Arabidopsis thaliana: one gene and its partners. The protein of the gene in region 1 interacts with the protein of each later gene in a pairwise test. Each region holds a gene or a part of one and is shown on either strand. Other genes may lie near its edges. The genes, in order: ARAC5, NCRK and RBK2.

What was found.
Region 2: the proteins of ARAC5 (region 1) and NCRK interact in a two-hybrid assay, tested with the Arabidopsis thaliana proteins (one study listed by BioGRID).
Region 3: the proteins of ARAC5 (region 1) and RBK2 interact in a two-hybrid assay, tested with the Arabidopsis thaliana proteins (one study listed by BioGRID).

What each region holds. Positions count from the first base shown.
Region 1 is NC_003070.9:28,472,875-28,478,302, forward strand, and holds ARAC5 (RAC-like GTP binding protein 5), read left to right. Parts: upstream 1-2,774; 5' UTR 2,775-3,089; coding exon 3,090-3,188; intron 3,189-3,556; coding exon 3,557-3,644; intron 3,645-3,731; coding exon 3,732-3,841; intron 3,842-3,953; coding exon 3,954-4,017; intron 4,018-4,099; coding exon 4,100-4,164; intron 4,165-4,242; coding exon 4,243-4,308; intron 4,309-4,404; coding exon 4,405-4,503; 3' UTR 4,504-4,928; downstream 4,929-5,428. Other genes in the region: VPS35B (VPS35 homolog B), read right to left, coding at 5,179-5,389. UniProt on the Arabidopsis thaliana protein: Involved in cell polarity control during the actin-dependent tip growth of root hairs, thus regulating root hair length and root hair initiation.
Region 2 is NC_003071.7:12,040,006-12,047,366, forward strand, and holds NCRK (Protein kinase superfamily protein), read left to right. Parts: upstream 1-2,342; 5' UTR 2,343-2,648; intron 2,649-2,701; exon of another isoform or gene 2,702-3,922; 5' UTR 3,923-3,998; coding exon 3,999-4,068; intron 4,069-4,142; coding exon 4,143-4,235; intron 4,236-4,315; coding exon 4,316-4,417; intron 4,418-4,495; coding exon 4,496-4,750; intron 4,751-4,839; coding exon 4,840-5,084; intron 5,085-5,158; coding exon 5,159-5,455; intron 5,456-5,529; coding exon 5,530-5,772; intron 5,773-5,861; coding exon 5,862-6,095; intron 6,096-6,175; coding exon 6,176-6,334; 3' UTR 6,335-6,611; downstream 6,612-7,361. Other genes in the region: AT2G28240 (ATP-dependent helicase family protein), read left to right, coding at 71-167, 262-479, 564-777, 851-1,965.
Region 3 is NC_003074.8:1,434,892-1,440,868, forward strand, and holds RBK2 (ROP binding protein kinases 2), read right to left. Parts: upstream 3,649-5,977; 5' UTR 3,309-3,648; coding exon 3,256-3,308; exon of another isoform or gene 3,001-3,255; coding exon 2,888-3,000; intron 2,755-2,887; coding exon 2,341-2,754; intron 2,241-2,340; coding exon 1,989-2,240; intron 1,902-1,988; coding exon 1,664-1,901; intron 1,588-1,663; coding exon 1,452-1,587; intron 1,354-1,451; coding exon 1,204-1,353; intron 1,097-1,203; coding exon 926-1,096; 3' UTR 793-925; downstream 1-792. Other genes in the region: AT3G05130 (paramyosin-like protein), read right to left, coding at 1-488; AT3G05150 (Major facilitator superfamily protein), read left to right, coding at 5,325-5,480, 5,594-5,656, 5,755-5,844, 5,971-5,977.

The DNA of each region.
Region 1 (5,428 bases):
GATAAACTTTTACGTACGACGTATACTACTGTTTCTTCTTGTCCATATTTGTCTGCAAAACTCCAACACAACACAAACGATTATTTGAAAATAGAGAATCGGAGGAATATGTTATAGTATTTCATAAAAACTGCTTATAATAAAGAGTATTCAGCTTATACATAAAAGAGAGCTAGCTACATAACACAATCTCCGACTTAATTATATACCAAAGAGATTTACCTAGCTAATTCAACTTTAAAAAACGAGGTCTTGTGTTGACATCTTTGAATTTTTATTTATTGTACTTAGGCTCGGCTACAATGTAAAAAACAGGCGGTTTCGGAGAAGAATACCAAATGTATGTTTCCACCAAAATTATGTCAATTTACAAGACTGATATCTAGAATGTTCATGCTGATCAGCTAGTTATGTGGTTATTCAAAAAATATCTATAGATATCCCAATTCCAAGATTTGTAAATTATGTTAATATAAACAAAACTGTTACTTCTATGGAGTTTGAACCAGCGTGGCAAAAATTTCCTGCACCCATATTAATATTAAATTATCTCAAGCTAGTATCTGATGTTAGATTTGTACTGTGTATCACACTGTACGTATGCTTGCTTACTTATTACTCTATTACAACAGATATTTGTGTGTTTTCATTGTTAAATAATGTAACAGAAATTTGTGGGTTTGACTGTTCTTTTTACTGAATTTCTCACTACTTGAAGTCTAACTAGAATAACATGTGACTGTTTTATAATTTATAGTTCGAGGTTGATTCAGAAAAGTCGTAAAAATCTCTCATAAATGTATTACCGTATGGCTCTATATTGCATATATGGGCCCAATGTCTCAAGTCTCAACCATGTTTTAAATTTTCAGTACTAAGCAATGCATATGTTTTTGTTAGACACAATTTTTCTTCTTTTTTTGATAAAATGTGAGTTTTTTTTTTTTTTTGAAATGTGATTAATTACCAAAATGGAAACATTGTTACTTGCAAAAATCTTTGGGACAAATAGCTTCTAAGACAATTTGTTTTTTAAAAAGCCTCAGAAACTAATAAACGCAAAGATTACAAATAGAGAACTATTACGAGCTAGGCATGGGAAAACCATTGAGAGAGCAGTCACCGCGGCCTTTGCGGTACCTTCGAGCCAGGAGAGTGTCTCTAATTAATGTGCTCCTGTCGATTTGCTTAAAGACAGAGGCAAATCTGTTATGGAGACTGTTTGTACTTGTCAAACTATGGGCCATCAGTCGACCGCAGCCATTGTTAGACACAATTAACTATGTGCGCCATCTATTATGGAGACTGTTTCCACTTGTCAAACTTTAGCACTATGCCTTTAAAGCTTTAACAAATGTTGAATGACTGAGAAACCGACAAACTTTAGTCTACTACATCTTATCTATATACTAATTACGCAACAAAAAAATAAAAAAAAATTGGATAATGTTTTAAAACATAACATATTTTACTCTTCTTCTATGACAGATGAATTACTACATTCCAAAATAAACAAGTAAAAACTCTTGTTTCGTGGATAAGCATGCACTAGGCAGTCAATTCATTTGGAGTCTCACCAAACCAAGTACCCCATGGGCCCTGGTGGCAAAAATGGTCACTAATCATGATATTTCAAGAGTTGTCATAATGGGCCTTAATTCGCTACTGGGCCTCAAGTGTGAGCCTTCGTGTTATTGTCTTTTCTAGCTTCCAGTTGTGTTAGTGTGTTTGTGCCTTTGTGTTATGGCCCTTATGGCACTCCATATTGTCACTTGAATCACTAATGTAAAGTTTATTCATTTTCAAATAAGTCGCTTTAAATAGAAGCACTAGATTTCATGATCAATCATTATCAAATTTCTTATAAAAAAAATCATAAAGCCTGAAATTCATTTCATGTAAGAATCAGAATGAATGGGTAAAGGTGTTTTTGGTTGAGAGTAGGTAGAAGCGTAGAGCTAACTCTAACCCCTTCTTTAGTTTGGTATGATTGAATATTAGTTCATATAAATATAATTGGTGAAATTTTGATGTGTCCTTGGTCCTTTAGAAGCAAACTGTAATAATGCGACCGTATGATTTGGATAAATCTAATGTGGGACAATTCATGATGTGTCGTATGCTCATTGGTAGGTTGAAAGAGAGTTGAGCACGTTCGTGTAAGATTTTTCGATTCTTATGTCGTAAAGATGAAGAAAACTCTTTAAAATTACAACTATAAAAACAAAGACAAAGACACTCTTGACAAAATTAAACCATATTAATTTGATAAGGGATTTGAGAAAAAGGAATGAAATGGTGCCGTAACACTAAGTCGCACGTTCTTGACGAGAGTCGTCCCAATCCAATGATTAATATTTGGCAATTTCATGCCCTCCCTCCCCATAGTTTGGTCGTTTATTATGCTTTACTCTTAGTTTTTTTTCTTAAAAATTATAATCTTTATTTATTTGCTGTCTTTTTTTTTTATAATTGTCAATTAGGTTAACAACTATGGTCAAATTAGAAAACATTAGTTTTTGTTAAAAGAAAATTAAAAAAAAAATCCATGTTTATTAGTGAATTAGGTTTTTATTTTGGTGGTAGTTTAGCTAATCTCATAAAACAGATAGTAATTTCATAATGTAAAAAGATATTTCTACTATACAGAAAAGGAAAAGAAAAAAAAAAACTCATTACAACGGATAATTTCTCAATTTGTATTCAAATTCAAAATTAAAAGTGCTCAAAATTAGTATTATTTAAAAGAAATACTAAAGTGGGGTGAGTGTAAATGATAAGGTGTTGTTTGGTGTAGCAAATAGCTGGCATAAGGTTGGTATTGAAAAGCTCATCTCAGAATCATCAACGGCCCAAAACACATTGCAAATTAAAGAAAAAGCAAAGATTTTCCTCATTCTTTTGCCATTATTATCTCTCATCGATTTGGCTTGCTACTTTTGAATTTACCCGTGTTCTACTACGATTCGGGATTAGGGTTTTTTCTTGAGTTAGAAAAGATTGTTTCTTGATTCTTGGGAATGGCTGGGATTTGAGGAAGAAGAAGTGCAAAAGGGTTCTTTTTTTGAGTTTGTGAATTTGCTGCGGAGATGAGTGCTTCGAGGTTTATAAAGTGTGTCACCGTCGGCGATGGTGCCGTCGGAAAAACTTGTATGCTGATTTCTTACACAAGCAACACTTTCCCTACGGTAAAGTTTCTTCCTTTTGCTCTCAGTAGTGATCTTGAAGCATTCTTTGAAAATGGGTTTTTGGAGATTATTCATCTTTGTTCTTGAATGTGATTGATTAGCTGGTAAAAATTGTAAAAATCAATTCTTGACATGTTTCTTCAGAACTTTTATTGATGCTTCCATGGATTTAGCTTCTTTGTTATTTATCTTTACCTATGAGCATTGTTCTTCTTTCATTTTGGACTTCATGTTCAATTTGTATGTATTAGTCAAATTTGCAGATATGAGGATCTATAATCTTTTCCATTATTGTGTGTGTTAATGATGATCCACTATTGTGTGTGTTTTAGTTTAACAAACTCTATGACTTGGTTACTGAATATCAGGACTATGTTCCAACTGTTTTCGACAACTTCAGTGCTAATGTGGTTGTAGATGGGAACACGGTGAATCTTGGATTGTGGGATACAGCTGGTAAATAATCCTTTTGAAACTCATCAAATCTGGTTTTCTTGTTTTTTTGTGGTTTCATTTTGACTGATAATTCTTGGGTTTGTGCAGGTCAAGAAGACTATAACAGGTTAAGACCGTTGAGTTACCGTGGTGCCGATGTCTTCATTCTTGCATTCTCGCTTATTAGCAAAGCTAGCTACGAGAATGTAGCCAAGAAGGTTAGCTTTTTGTTGATCTAACGTCTTTCATTTGATAGTAATAACTTTCGTTAAGCTGATTTTGAATTGGTTCCTTCATTTGCTTTTTTTTTTTTTTTTTTCTTTATTTCAGTGGATTCCTGAGCTTAGGCATTATGCCCCTGGTGTTCCTATAATCCTCGTTGGAACGAAACTCGGTATTGACTCTCTTCTTGTCTAAAAACTCTTTCCTTATAATAAGAAAGAGATGAATAATAATTCAAGTTTTGGAATTTGCAGATCTTCGAGATGACAAGCAATTCTTCATAGACCATCCTGGTGCAGTGCCTATTACTACAAACCAGGTACATAACTCCACAATTCTTTAAAACAATAGTGTTTTTTGCTTTGCGAGTTCTTGATCTTTAGTTGTTTGTCTGCAGGGAGAGGAACTAAAGAAACTGATAGGATCACCAATCTACATTGAATGTAGTTCAAAGACTCAGCAGGTATACTACACACATAAATAATATCTCACATGTCTTTTTGTTTGGGATTTTTGTATTTGGTAAGACAGTGAAAATGTTGATTGTTGGGTTTTGCAGAATGTGAAAGCAGTCTTTGACGCAGCCATAAAAGTGGTGCTTCAGCCACCGAAACAGAAGAAGAAGAAAAAGAACAAGAACCGCTGCGTGTTCTTGTGATCGAACATCTCTTAAAACGAAAAAAGGTTTAGGTAACAAAAGAAGCTGAAGGAAAACGAACACCTGCAACATTGTATAGTTGTTGAATCCGGCTTGTTTCGGTCTTTACTCTTCTTTTTGCTGGTGAATCTAATGAGTGAACTGAGGCCAAGAGGAGGATTCTGGGTAAGAGAAGGGGATGTGTTCTTTTCTTGGTGTGTTGTTGTTGTTGTTGTACTTTTGCTATGTAGACTAATCTCTTAATACTATGTTGTCTTTGTTTTTGCTGTTGGGGTCCATTTTGTATTTTCTTTAACAGAAATCTTAATTAATTTTTTAGTGACTTTTTTTAAGCTTCCGTTGATCTTATGGTCTTGTATTGGTATGTAATTAGATTCAGACAACGAAGAACATCTTGAGATAGATCTCTATATACAATAAGATTAGAGACATCGTTGAATTGAGGCATAGTTTCAAAGAATGGTTTACAGAAACGAGGATTCTATACACACAGGTGAGGTGAGTATAAGGAACAAAGAAAATAACAATTACAAAGGTTTTCTCCATTTTGTAATAAGACCGAAAAGAAAACAAACATGTGTAGTGTACACTTCCTTTTCAGAGTTTCCAACATTTCTTTGGAAAATACAGAGAATTCCTCTCGGGATTTGATGAGGCTTGTGTCTCGGATTTAAGTCACAGCTTGATAGGGTCATATTTCTCACCCATCAAACCACCTTTCTGTTTTATGAACTTAATGTAACGCAATGTACTTGTAAAGAAGGGATCTGAGTGGATTGTCGTGTTACCGTTGTCGCTTTGCATCTCATTGTTGATCAATTCTATGAGGCTCTGTATATCAGATGGAGTGATATGTGGATTCCCTTTCTCAAAGAAGTAAATGTACCTGTTGTATATGAAAAAAACATTTTTAGTATTGAGATGC
Region 2 (7,361 bases), on another chromosome or scaffold:
AAAACGACTGTTACTCTTTGTTGGTTTCAGATCGTTTATTGTGCTTACGAATTAGATTTTTCGTCTACAGAGAGCTCAAGGTACGGGTTGTCCACCATCTTCGTCAGTTCCCGTCCAAAATATCACAACAGCAGCGGAGCATTGGACTTCTACATCGACTCCTTTAGGTCAGGATCTGCCCATTGATAGTGATCGCTATGCTTTAATTATAGTTGGTGTGCTAGAATGTTAAGATTTTTGTATGTTGTGATCGTTGTGTAGTTAACCATTCAGAGGATGTCGTTGAAGGTGGTGTTCAGCCTCCTAACGTCTTACATAGCAGATTAACAGTCAATGCATCAGCGGTTACGTCTCTTCCCAACAATCATATGGGACAGAGTCCTCGGTTACATTTATCTTCGTTCAGTGACATATGTGACCACGAGCTGGAGAAGCTGAGCAGAGAACAAGGGACCTTACTGAAAAGCTTTGAAGAGACGGTTAGTCTTTTTCTAATTCTTGGTTAATCTATCTTTATTCGGTTTCCTGTCCTCTCTGCTCATTGTCTCGTTGTTTGTAAGCAGACATTAGAGTTGAAGGCTGAACTCGAGAGGAAGATGGCGGAAGCACGCAGTGAGTATGATAGGAAATCCCAAGAGGTAGATGCTGCGTATAACGCTCAAGCGAAGAAGAATGAAGCGTTAAGGAGTTTGGTTGTTATGAACAGTCTCTTGGCGAATGCTTACAAGTCTACTTGTCCAGTGAAGAGTGCAGCCACTGATACTGCTACCGTAAGAGGTAAAGTTGAAGAGTATAATTGGATAAAGCAAATGAGCTAAACAGCGACACTAATTCTCTTCCCTTTTTTTAGCACCCAGGAGCTCTCAACATTCAACGCAGCAGCAGCAAGCAGTGCAAACTAACAGGCATATGAATTCAACTGCTCCTCCTCGACCCTCAGTCACAGCAGCTGAACCTATGAATTCGGCTGCTCCTCCTCGACCCTCAGTCACAGCAGCTGAACCTATGAATTCAACTGCTCCTCCTCGACCCTCAGTCACAGCAGCGGAAGCTACACCTCCAAATCTTTCAGCTCCTCTCCCGCACTGCAACACTCCTCAACCAAGTCCAATATCTCAGCAAGCAGCAGTAGAATCAAACACACAGATGCAATCAACCGCCCTTCCTCGACCCTCTGTTACAGCAGAAGCTCGTCCTTTACATCAACCACACAGCAACACGTCTCAGCCAAGACCAATACCACAACAAGCATTAGCACAATCCAACACAAATATCACTTCAACCGCCCTTCCTCGACCCTCAATCACAGCAGAAGCTCGTCTGTTACATCAACCACACAGCAACACGCCTCAGCCAAGACCAATACCTCAGAAAGCTTTAGTACAAGCCAACACAGATATCAATTCAACCGCCCTTCCTCGACCCTTAGTCACAGCAGAAGCCCCTCCTTTACATCAATCAAGCTGCAAGGCTCCTCAGCCAAAACCAATATCTCAGCAACCAGCAGTACAATCCAAGACGGATATCATCAATTCAACCGCCCTTCCTCGACCCTCAGTCACAACAGAAGCCCGTCCTTTACATCAACCACGCAGCAAAACGCCTCAGCCAAAACCAGTATCTCAACCACCAGCAAAACAATCAAACACAGAAATCAATTCAACTCCCCATCCTCGACCCTCAGTCACATCAAAAGCTATATCTCTGCAATCACCGCCCTGCAACACACCTCAGCCAAGACCACCGCCTTTAATCTCCAACCATACTCCAACTTCTTATCAACCAGCTTCTGCTCCACCAGTGCATGGTATAGCGCGAAGGACCATGGCACCTCATTTAAGATCATCTCGAGCTCCCAACTCTGCTGCTGCACCATCAACATATCCAAGGTTGGCTCAAGAACAACAAAAGCAACAACAAAAGAAGTCAAACAGTAGCTTGGTCTATCTCTCAGATGACGACTAGTGACAAATCTTTGGGAGTATATAACATCAGTATATAGTTTTTGAAGTTTCTCTTAAGGGAATATATAAGTTCGAGAGGCCCTTTAAAACATTTGAGAATGCCTTGTACGAAGGATCATTTCGAATACTAATTTTTTGGAGAATATCAAGTAAGTTAACTAAAATATTTTTCACAAATTTGCAGTTTAATCAAAATTTATTTACATAATTCTGTTATTTTTACTCTATAGGAATTTTCAAAATACTTTTTTTCTCCTTACTTCGAGTTTTGAAAATATTTTTCATGCAGCGAATCTCTGATATCAATTTAGCGCCACGTGGCACGTGACATACCCCGATCTCTAATAAATGAACTCTTTTTAAAATCGCCCCCCTCGATACATCAGTTCACTAGTTTAGTGACTCCACTCGACCACAAACGCTAACGCAAACGCAGTCGCGTGGACTCCTCTGTTTATTTCGCGTTTTAGATTTCTTAATTCTCATTCTGATTTGACTGTGGAAAGGGATTCGTTTCTCCTTCAAGGAAAAAGTTTTATCTTTGCTGGAAACTCAACTACAAACGCGGTTTTGCTCCATTTCGCGTTTGCGTTTTAGCTCCAATGCTGGTACTCTCTGTTCTACTATAAGCTGTAGCAAGCTCCAAATCCTCAAAAATCGACATTGTTGCTTCTTCATATTAAGGTGGGTTTCTCATTAAATATGCGTTTTCAATTCATTTCCCTACATGTATGAAGAAATCATGAAATGGGGTTCCCCAAAAACTTCACCTTTTACTTGGAGAGAGCATCATTGAATTTGTGGGACATGATTCTTTCCATCAAAAAGTTAGATTTTTTCGGTCAATGGTGGAGGAAACAGGTCCTACAATCGAAAACCGGTTTTTTAAACCGGTTTCCGACAACCGACACCGGGAATTGTGAGTCCCACAATCAAAAACCGGGTTTTAAACCGGTTCCTGACAACCGACACCGGAAATTCTGGGTCCTAACAAATTTCAACAGTTTGCTTCGACCAACGTTTTGCTTTTCCTTAAAAGCAAAGTCCTTTTTGGCTCTATCTAATTTGGTTTGTCTATAATTTTGGATCAAGAATCTACAATGTCAAGTTCATAAAGAAAGAGTCATGTGAGCTAAGTTACAGTATCATCATATAGTTCTTGTTAAGATTCACAAAATCTAATATTTATCAATTTTGGTAAAGTTTAAGATGTTTTGATTATAATATAAAGATTTTGCCATTAGTAAACAGTTTAAAGTTAAGAGCTTTTCAATGATTCTGCCTCTTTGATTACTATAATGGTTGAAAGGTCACTCTCAGATTTGCAATGCCCGTTTCTTTCTATTGGTGGTTGGTCTGTTTTCATTCCATTTATTATTGTATTTGCCATTCTTTGACTAATCCTATACTCAATCATTTCTTTAATCACATTATTTTAGTAATCAATATCCTTCAAGATGCTCCATTACTTCTTTTTAATATCCTCTTGTCTGCAACTTCCTTTTCTTGACTCTGTAGTTCTTACTTCAACTTCACCACTTTGCAGGGTAATGTAATCTATATTAGCTCTCTTGTTTGGTTCTTTTAGTGTTTTGGTTGTTGTGTTATGATGTTTGTTGTCTGTATGTGAAAACATAGCCAACTAACTTTAGAGGGAACTAAAGATTTTGCAGAATCAGATGAGTGACAATGGATCTTTAAATGATTGATGTGGACCGTATATCTATCGCTATGAGTTTCTTGTTTTCTCTTCTAACTCTGGGCCCTTTTAAGAATTGGAGACTCTTGACCAAATCATAGAATGTTTTTGGTTCATAGTGGGTGTAACAGAGTTAGAATCTTTTCGATGTCTGTTCACCAACTCATTCATTCACATTACACTGTAGTTTTACCTGTGAATTCTATAAAAATTCTACTCTACTTGTAATCTGGTCTAATCTAAACATAACTTGTTTCAGGTTTTAGATTCTTGCACTCTTGGAGGTTGAGCTTAGTTCGACATGAAGGTCTTTATCTAATCTCCACTCGCTGGCAATGAAGATGAGAGTGGAAACCGCACTTGCGATCCTTTTGGTTCTCATATCAATTCAACAATGTTATGGAGGTTAGTTTCTACTCAGCAACATATATAAAAACATGGTGTGAGTTTCATTTAAATTGATGACGTTTCTTTGTTAGGTGTAAGCAACTATACATGTACGTGTTTCTCTTCGGGCAATCGAAGTGATATCCTGGAATCTAACTGTTCCACATCATGTAATTGCAGACCAGGTTCGTTTTCTCTTTACCAACTAGAAAATTTTCAATATTCTAGAGAAAACTAACTTTTTGACTCTCTCTTTTGTTAGCAGACAGAGATCAATGGGTATGTTTGTGTCCTGCAAATGGATTTCCGGTTATAGCCATTGGTGGTTCAAATTCGTCATGCTTCACTTCATGCAACTGCTCTGCTGGTATAGTTTACTATATCCATTGTTCTACTGCAAACTTAGTCGATTATATCATAAGTTGGTCTACTTACTTGTTTCCAGGTGCTACAAAATCTTCAAAGAAGCAATATTTATCGAGGAAACTCGTTATAGTTATACTACTCTTCTGCGGTGTACTCATTTCACTAGCATTCCTTGCCTCTATGATTTGTTACATTTGTAGAAAGGACAAGTTTTCTGGACAAACCCCTTCAGTCTCTTCAGATAGAGAATCTAGCTGGCATAGCTCTGCTAACTTAATAAACCGTAAAAGCTCGGTTTCACAATCGAAAATTAGCATCAGCTCCTCAGTGGCAGGTCAATCATTTTTACCCTCTTACTTTCTTTGAGTTGATACGTTAAACAGAAGAGGAAATAAGAACTTGTTTTTGTTTTGTTTTCTTCAGGTTGCTTCTTTCAGAATGCTTCTTTGTTTTGTGTGAGCAAACCTGAAACAATCCATGGAGCTATCTTTCAGTTCTCATACACAGAATTAGAGCAAGCAACCAATAAATTCTCAAGTAACAGTGTAATAGGACATGGAGGAAGTAGTTGTGTTTACCGTGGACAGCTCAAAGACGGTAAAACCGCTGCGATCAAACGTCTAAATACCCCTAAAGGAGACGACACTGACACTCTATTCTCAACAGAGGTACTAATCTCATTTCTCCTACTTCTCATTTGGAATTCATATTTGATCCAATGTCTTTATTAATGTTCTCACAGGTAGAGTTATTATCAAGACTCCATCATTACCATGTGGTACCGTTAATTGGATATTGTTCGGAGTTTCATGGCAAACATGCAGAGAGGCTTCTGGTTTTTGAGTACATGTCTTATGGAAGTCTAAGAGATTGCTTAGATGGAGAGTTAGGGGAGAAAATGACATGGAACATCCGAATCTCTGTCGCTCTTGGAGCTGCAAGAGGACTTGAGTATCTTCATGAAGCTGCCGCTCCAAGAATCTTACACCGAGATGTGAAATCCACAAATATTCTCCTTGATGAGAATTGGCATGCAAAAGTAAGTATACACAAACATTTTCAGTGTTCAATGAGGCTAAATTTGAAGTTTTAATGCACATAACATTTTTACAGATAACAGATCTTGGGATGGCTAAGTGTTTGAGTAGCGATGGTTTACAAAGCGGTTCAAGCTCTCCAACCACAGGACTACAAGGAACATTTGGCTACTTTGCACCTGAATACGCAATTGCAGGATGTGCTTCACAGATGTCAGATGTTTTCAGCTTTGGTGTTGTTCTACTCGAGCTTATAACCGGAAGGAAACCGATACAGAAACCAAGCAACAACAAAGGCGAAGAAAGCCTAGTTATATGGGTAATTAACACTGGTTTATGAATCTTTAGTTGTAGCTTTAGCCAACAAATTTCAAGTCTCTGAAACTTATTTGTTCTGTGGTGTGTTAGGCTGTGCCACGGTTACAAGATAGTAAGCGGGTGATCGAGGAACTGCCTGATCCGCGGCTAAACGGGAAGTTTGCGGAAGAAGAGATGCAGATAATGGCGTATCTTGCTAAAGAGTGTTTGCTTTTGGATCCAGAAAGTAGACCAACAATGAGAGAAGTTGTTCAGATTCTTTCAACCATCACACCAGACACATCATCCAGACGTAGAAATTTCCCCATTAATTATCTTTTCCAGGTATGTTTTACATGAAAACAACGTGTATATTAGCGTTTGAAACAATCGACCCTTACTATCGGCGACATTTGTTTTCGCAGAGTAACGAGAAGAAGAAAGAAAGCAAAGTGGGATGGTCAAGAGGAGGGAGCAAGAGTGGACAGGAAGAGGAAACAGTGGATCTGACTGAGCCACGGTTCGAGTCATTCTGCTTGCCGAATGTGAAGCCGGTCTTGCTTGAACCATCTGCACATATTTAAAAAGTAGATAGAAAAGCACAGAACAAAAACTGCCATTTCGCACTGTGTAGATAAAAAGCTCACTCTGACGAGAGTGAAGCGTTGAGACTTGAGAGTTTACTACAAGTGAGAGTGTCAAGATTTGTTCTAAACTAGAGGACTTTTAATTGATAATTTTAATAAATATATTTAACAAAATGTACACAAGAGTTATTATTCACAAGATTTGCTATATTTTTTTATTTGGAAAAAAATGGTTAAGTCAGAATTGATTCATTGTTAAAAAAATCGAAATGAGCATGGCCATTATGTATTGTAAAGAGTTCGTGTCAACCACTACACTCTAGGAACCGGCCTTGCATACACAATTACACATACATAATGGGCATGTTCATTTTTTCATTTGGATAATTCATAAAATTTGGATTATTAGATGTTATGCAAAGTAGAGTTTAGATAGCAAATATTGCATCAAAACCGACTAAAAGGCTAGAATACCTCTAAATCATGTAAAAATAATTGTATGAAGATTTATTAATTTACGTCACTGATGATTTTCTTTGTAAGTTTGTTTTGTAAAAGAACAAGCTATCATATGTAAATAGCATTGTGAGATTAGAACAATACTTGATTGAGTTATTTTTAGTGCCAAGATCCTTCTCTCCGCCTCAACCACTCTAAGTTGGAAGGTAAATAGGAGCGTATCCTTATCGACTCTTGATGGGCTATGCAGCCTTTTGCTTCTCCACTAATGAGGACTTAATACGATATAGAGGTGATACATCATATATTCCTACACACATGTTTGGGAAAAACCGAGTCTAAGTATGAAAATTTCAAAGATGTTATATCCAACATAATCATATGTTTTGCTCATATGTTTTTAATACTAAGAACTATTTTCTATAGTCTTGATTACTTAATATTAGAATTTAGAAGACTAGAAGTTTTCATGCCCTATGAGAATAAGCAAAATGCTAAATTTTCCGGCTACAATCTACGGTATTAAGTTTGAACGAACTATTTTCAATCTTTTGCAAAGATTTTT
Region 3 (5,977 bases), on another chromosome or scaffold:
ATCTCAACCTTACCCGTAAGCTCAATCGCTTCCCCTTTCAAAACCCTAATCTCACTCTCTCTATCACTCTTCTCCTTCACCAACATATCAACTCCAACACACATCTCTCTAAACTGGCTCTCAACAAACACAATAACAAAATCCAATTCAAACTTCAACCCGAAATTCTCATCACTCACCTGATCCAACTCGTCACGCAACCCAGTCTTCTCCTGACAATAACGAGCTAACTCGGTCTCCAATTCATCCTTGGCCTGAACCAGCGAATCGATCTGGTTTCTCTTCTCCATAGCTTGTTTGAGAAGCATCGCATTAAGAGACTTCAAATTCTGGAATTGCTCCTCCGAAGAATCGTGTTCTTCCATGGAAGACTGACGGCTAAGTACCGTGGCTTTCTTGTCAGTCTCCGGTGCTTTCTGGTCATGTTGTTGTTGTCGGTTATCATTAGCGGTGTCGTTACTGTTACGCGACGCTTTCTTCTTGGCCATCGTTTTGAGGATTCTCGAAGGTTGCAAAAAAAGTGGTGGCGGTGATTAGGGTTTTTTGAGGATTTCGATGGTCAGTGTGAAGAGAGACGAAACGTCTTTGGGGGTAAATTTGCAAATTCAAAATTCAGGGCCCAGATTTTAAGATTTGATTTATCTTATCACATCAGTCTTCTCTGTTTTTAGATATTTTCGTAACGTAAATCCAACAACGTTGCACGTGACTGCCACGTGATACTAGTGACTAGTGAGAGTGATTATAAACCGAATTTAAGCTGGAATTAAACCGGTTTTAATTTAGTTTGTTCCATTCCCATCCATAAACAAATTTCAGCTATTTTGATCACATAATAGTTTTTTTTGGTAATTTTTTCCAACGATTTACATTCACCAATGAAAGAAACCAAAATAGTTTTACATAATAATAATTTGGATCGATTTCAAGAGGCTAAAGCAACCTCTCGAATGCGATCAAGATCTCCCAAGTACTTAGTGGAGTTATATTCTACACTATCTAATAATTCTTCGGAATACGTTCGTTGCATCATCTTTATCTTCGCTTCTCTTGGAGTCATTACGACATCTTCGTGGCCTAGTAATAATTCCACAACCTGGATACATTTAAAGAAACAGTATCAAAACCGGAACCAAAACGAATTTGACATTTGGTTCTTTCCCACTTTGAAACCTTAACCGGGATGGAATTACAATATTATACCTGGCTCATCCGGGGTCGTAGAAGAGAAGATTGATCGATGCATAAAGAAGCCGTGGAAGTTAACCGGATAAGCTCTTCTCGGTTATACTCATCTCCAAGAGATGGATCCACCAATTCTTTTATAGCTTTTCTCTCTAGCAACGGCTTAGCCTGTAAGCAAAAAGGAAACGTAACTCGTACCAGACTGATAAAAGGATAGTGAACCGGTCCGGTTTAGCCTCAAATGTCAAACTGGTCTATATACTCACCCATAAGACAAGGCTCTGCTGAGACTCGTCAAGGGCAGGATGTCCGGTTATGAGCTCCAAGAGGAGAACTCCAAAAGCGAAAACATCAGTCTTCTCGTCCACGATTCCGTGCATGAAATATTCAGGTGCAAAGTACCTAAAACATTGTCCAACCAAATTCTCAACTGAACCACATAAAAAAAAACTTTTCCTAAAAAATTTCAAATTGTTACCCGAATGTTCCCTCAAATTTGGATACGTTATGGTGTGTCAATTGCTTGGGAAGCCATTTGGCTAACCCGAAGTCGCAAATCTGCGGTTGAAAATCTTCGGTGAGAAGAATATTATCAGCTTTGATGTCTCGATGAATGATTCGTCTTTGACAACCCTCATGAAGATACACTAGTCCATCTGCTGTTCCTAACGCTACATTGTAACGTCTGCTCCAAGTCAGCTTATATTTTGATGGTCCTGTACAAATTAATTTGAGCATTTAGATATGATAAGCTTAAAAGCCCGATATGTATATCCGTTAAGTTTATGGGTGGATATAGAAACCATGGAGGAGAGAGCCTAAGCTTCCAAGAGGAGATAGCCGGAACACGAGATGCATTCCACCCTCGATGCAACAACCGATGAATTTGGCAGTGTTAGGATGATCAACATGAGCAATAATCCCAAGTTCCGATAGAAACTCAGCTGTTTGCTCGTCCGGTGTGCCTTTTGTCAAACGTTTCACAGCGATTAGCTTTCCTTCCGGTAGAATTCCCTGGTATACATCGGCGTAACCGCCTCTACCGATAATGTTTTCTGCATAGAAGCGTCGTTTTAATTGCAGTAATAGTAGCAACCAAACAGTCCTTCAAGTAAAAAAGAAGAGAGTATATTGTTATGAAGATAAACTCGATACCTGGACTGAAATTGTCAGTTGCAATTTCGATGTCAGATATTGAGAAGTTTTGGAGAGATGATTGGAAATCGTAGATATCGTGAAGGACCATGCCATTCATGTTTGGATCTGCACTTTTGTTTTGTTTGATGATCGGTGGGGCGGCGCCACTTAATGGAGGAAAGGAAGAGAGGCGTTTCATGGATCTGCGTTTCCATAGCTTGAAGAATTTTCCCCAATTAGAAGATGCTCTGTGATTCTTGCACTGTACGTCTGTGTCTGCATCTGCATTGTCGATAGCTTCTCTGTTTGGAGGAGGATCGTCAGATGAAGATGAAGCGGAAGAGATTGAGCAACGAGTTAAGCAGGCTTCGAGGGCTCCTCTTGGTGATTTGGGGTCTTGCTTCTCTTTATCTACCTCTAGTAATCTTAGATCTGGGAGGAGAAGGGAGAGAAAACGTTGGAAGAAGCTAGGTTTTTTGGTGTACAAGCAATGAATAAGAATACAGAGGACAAGAGAAAACAGAGCAAACATAGAAACAGAGGAAACAGAGGAGCTAGGTTTTACCATGAGCTGAAGCAGAATTCATAAGAAACGCGTTGGTTCTTTTATGTTTTGACGTATGATTTATGTCGTTTGGATCTTCTTCAGTGACATAACTTGAATATTTAGAGTTGTACCTGCCTCGGGAGATTCAAAAGAAAAGAACAGACTAAACATGTCGTTCTTATGTAAATTTTGCGGGAAATTAAGAGAAAATCGGTGAAAATTCAGGGAAAGTTCGTTAATTCTGCTTAAACGTTCGTTAAGTATCAATGAAAATCATAACAGAACAGAAGATAAACTTCTAGACATTAATATCATGTCTACCAAAAAAAAACTCAAATCAAATATAAGAACAAACAGAGAAAAAAGTGATTTGATTGAATGATTACATTGGAAGAGCACAACACACGGGAGAAGCTTCTTTGCTTTGGTCTACCGCCATGAAAGAGTGTTGGTAGGACACTTTTAAGATTTTCTCAGAAACCTGAAAACCTAAAAATAGAGAAGAGGATCATAGAAAGGAAATAGAAAGAAGTTAACATTTAAACCAAAAATAAATAAAAATAGAAAGAAGTTTTGAAGTTGGTGTTCGTCTCGAGACACCCGAAAGAAAAGGTTTTGTCTGTGTGTTTAAAATTTGATTTACTAATTTAATTGTTTTCCGTTGACCAATGGTATATCTACTAGTAGTTTTTTTGTTAAGCTAATAGTTAGACTCTAAAATGACTAAATCCTATATTTGGCAATATGCTTTTGATTTTCTCTTTTTGGATTGAACTCAGAGGCATTCTCTTAGCTTCATTCATTTATGGCAGAAAGGGTTAAGGGTCCTTAAAAATCGCTTCATCTGTCGGTCTCGTTATCCAAACTCATATTCCTAATTTAGGTCTTTTAAGGTTTTAAAAAACTACTTTCTTTATCTTGTTGATAAGGAATTTATAAAAGATCAAACTTGAGTAATCTAAGTAGTTTTAGTTTTACTAATTTCATTTACTGTTACTAATCAATTGTAGATATTGACATTCTTGTATATATTGCGACCTGATAGTAATTATCTTTAATTTTCTATATGTTTTTATTCAAGTAGTACTCTGTTTTGTATTTTCTTTCTTGTGAATAGAATATTTTCTGTGTGTATATGATGCAGAAAGCCTGCATTAAAACCTGCATTGGCTTTATTGCTTTGCACCGTTTATTTATTTTTATGATTCTTATTTTTGTGATTAACAAATATTATTTCAAGTGACTCTTATATAAGTTTTGGATAGTTAAACCACGGACCACAATCATGTTGGAAGTGATTGTTCAATACTTCATTGTTGTATAAGAGAGGGGACATCGATCATTTATGTAAATCTTGTTAGGTACTGTTCTGTTCTATCAATCTATCAATAGTCCCTACGCTAACTTTCTGTACCCTCGATTAAATAGGTTTTTGCTCAATGACGCTGGGTCCAAATTGTAATGACTCAGTTCAACTTCCGCGACAAAATCATTTTCATAGATTTTGATGATTTCTATAGTGGGCGGTTTTTTCTATACATCTTACATTCGCAAGAATTTGAATGATATTAGCCCATATGACGAGAAGAAGAATAATTCATTACTTATGTGGTTAATGCGGAGTGGAAACGAATATCTCATGGCCAACTACAAATCCAAATACTGTCTTTTGAATCCCTGTAGTTTTATACTATATGATCTAGAGTTTTTTTTGGATTTTGTCTCCCAAATTAGAAATTATTATAGTATCAACTATCCATCACATTTATAGAAAAAAAAAAAAAAAAAAACTATCCATCACAGCTTGGATCTTGCGGTGGGCCAGGAAAAAACACATGAGCATCGGATCTGTGGAAAACAACTGTCTTATCGGGTCAAACCTTTGAGTCAATTACACGTTACTGTGCATGTCATAAACCATCACCAAAAAGGAAAACAAAATAACAAACCATGCATCTTACTTACCCAGTAACACAATGCATCCATAATGTACATAGTATTTGTGAATTTTTTGAGGAAAGTATTAGTGAATATTATTACTATGAAATACCATGTAATTACTTCTGAATTATCTTACTTAAGAAAATTCAAGTTTAGTCAATCAACATTAAAACTATAGAGAACCCCCAACGTGTAATAATGCATTGGGAGTTGGGACTTTCATAAAATCTCGAATAAATTAATTCAAATTGTCTAATTCGTCCAAAATTATCCTGCATGGGTTTTAGCTAAGCCAGCCTAGCTACATGTACTGATTTATACAGAGATAAATATAGACATGATATATATCAATAAATTAGGAACAAATCAGAGTTTTTAGATCTAAAAACACGGTGCCTTCTCATTTCCTCCGGTGAGTTATCCAAATCTTGTGTTTCTTATCATATATCCTATATTTTATCTACATAAAAATTGATAAGTATTCGTTGAATTCAAAGGGCATTTTACGAAGAAAATGGAGACAAGAAAAGACGACATGGAGAAAAGGAACGACAAATCCGAGCCGTTGCTGCTGCCGGAGAATGGATCCGACGTCTCAGAAGAAGCATCATGGATGGTTTATCTAAGCACGATCATTGCCGTTTGCGGTTCCTACGAGTTTGGAACATGCGTAAGATTCTTTTACGACACCTATTACTTTGGAAATAAAAGATGATGAGAACCTAAGAATTTGTGACGATTAATCTTTTTGATACGAGAAAATCTGTGTTTGTTTTTTAATAGGTGGGATACTCCGCTCCAACACAGTTTGGGATTATGGAAGAGCTTAATTTATCATATTCCCAGGTTTATATTAAATTGATTAAGTCTTCTACGTTTATAGATGCATGTTTAACAATATTTTGCTTAATCTTTTTTTTTTTTTTTTCTCTATTGGAATCTAGTTTTCGGTTTTCGGATCGATATTGAATATGGGAGCAGTGCTCGGCGCCATTACATCGGGGAAGATTTCTGATTTCATCGGTCGGAAAGGGGTAAAACCTACCTAAACAAAATTGTTTTTATCTCAATATACACACAATAAATCCTAAGAAAAATATACCATTTTTACGAAATATAAAATTACTTTTTGGCTCACATGGTTTTTGTCTTTGAGACAGGCCATGC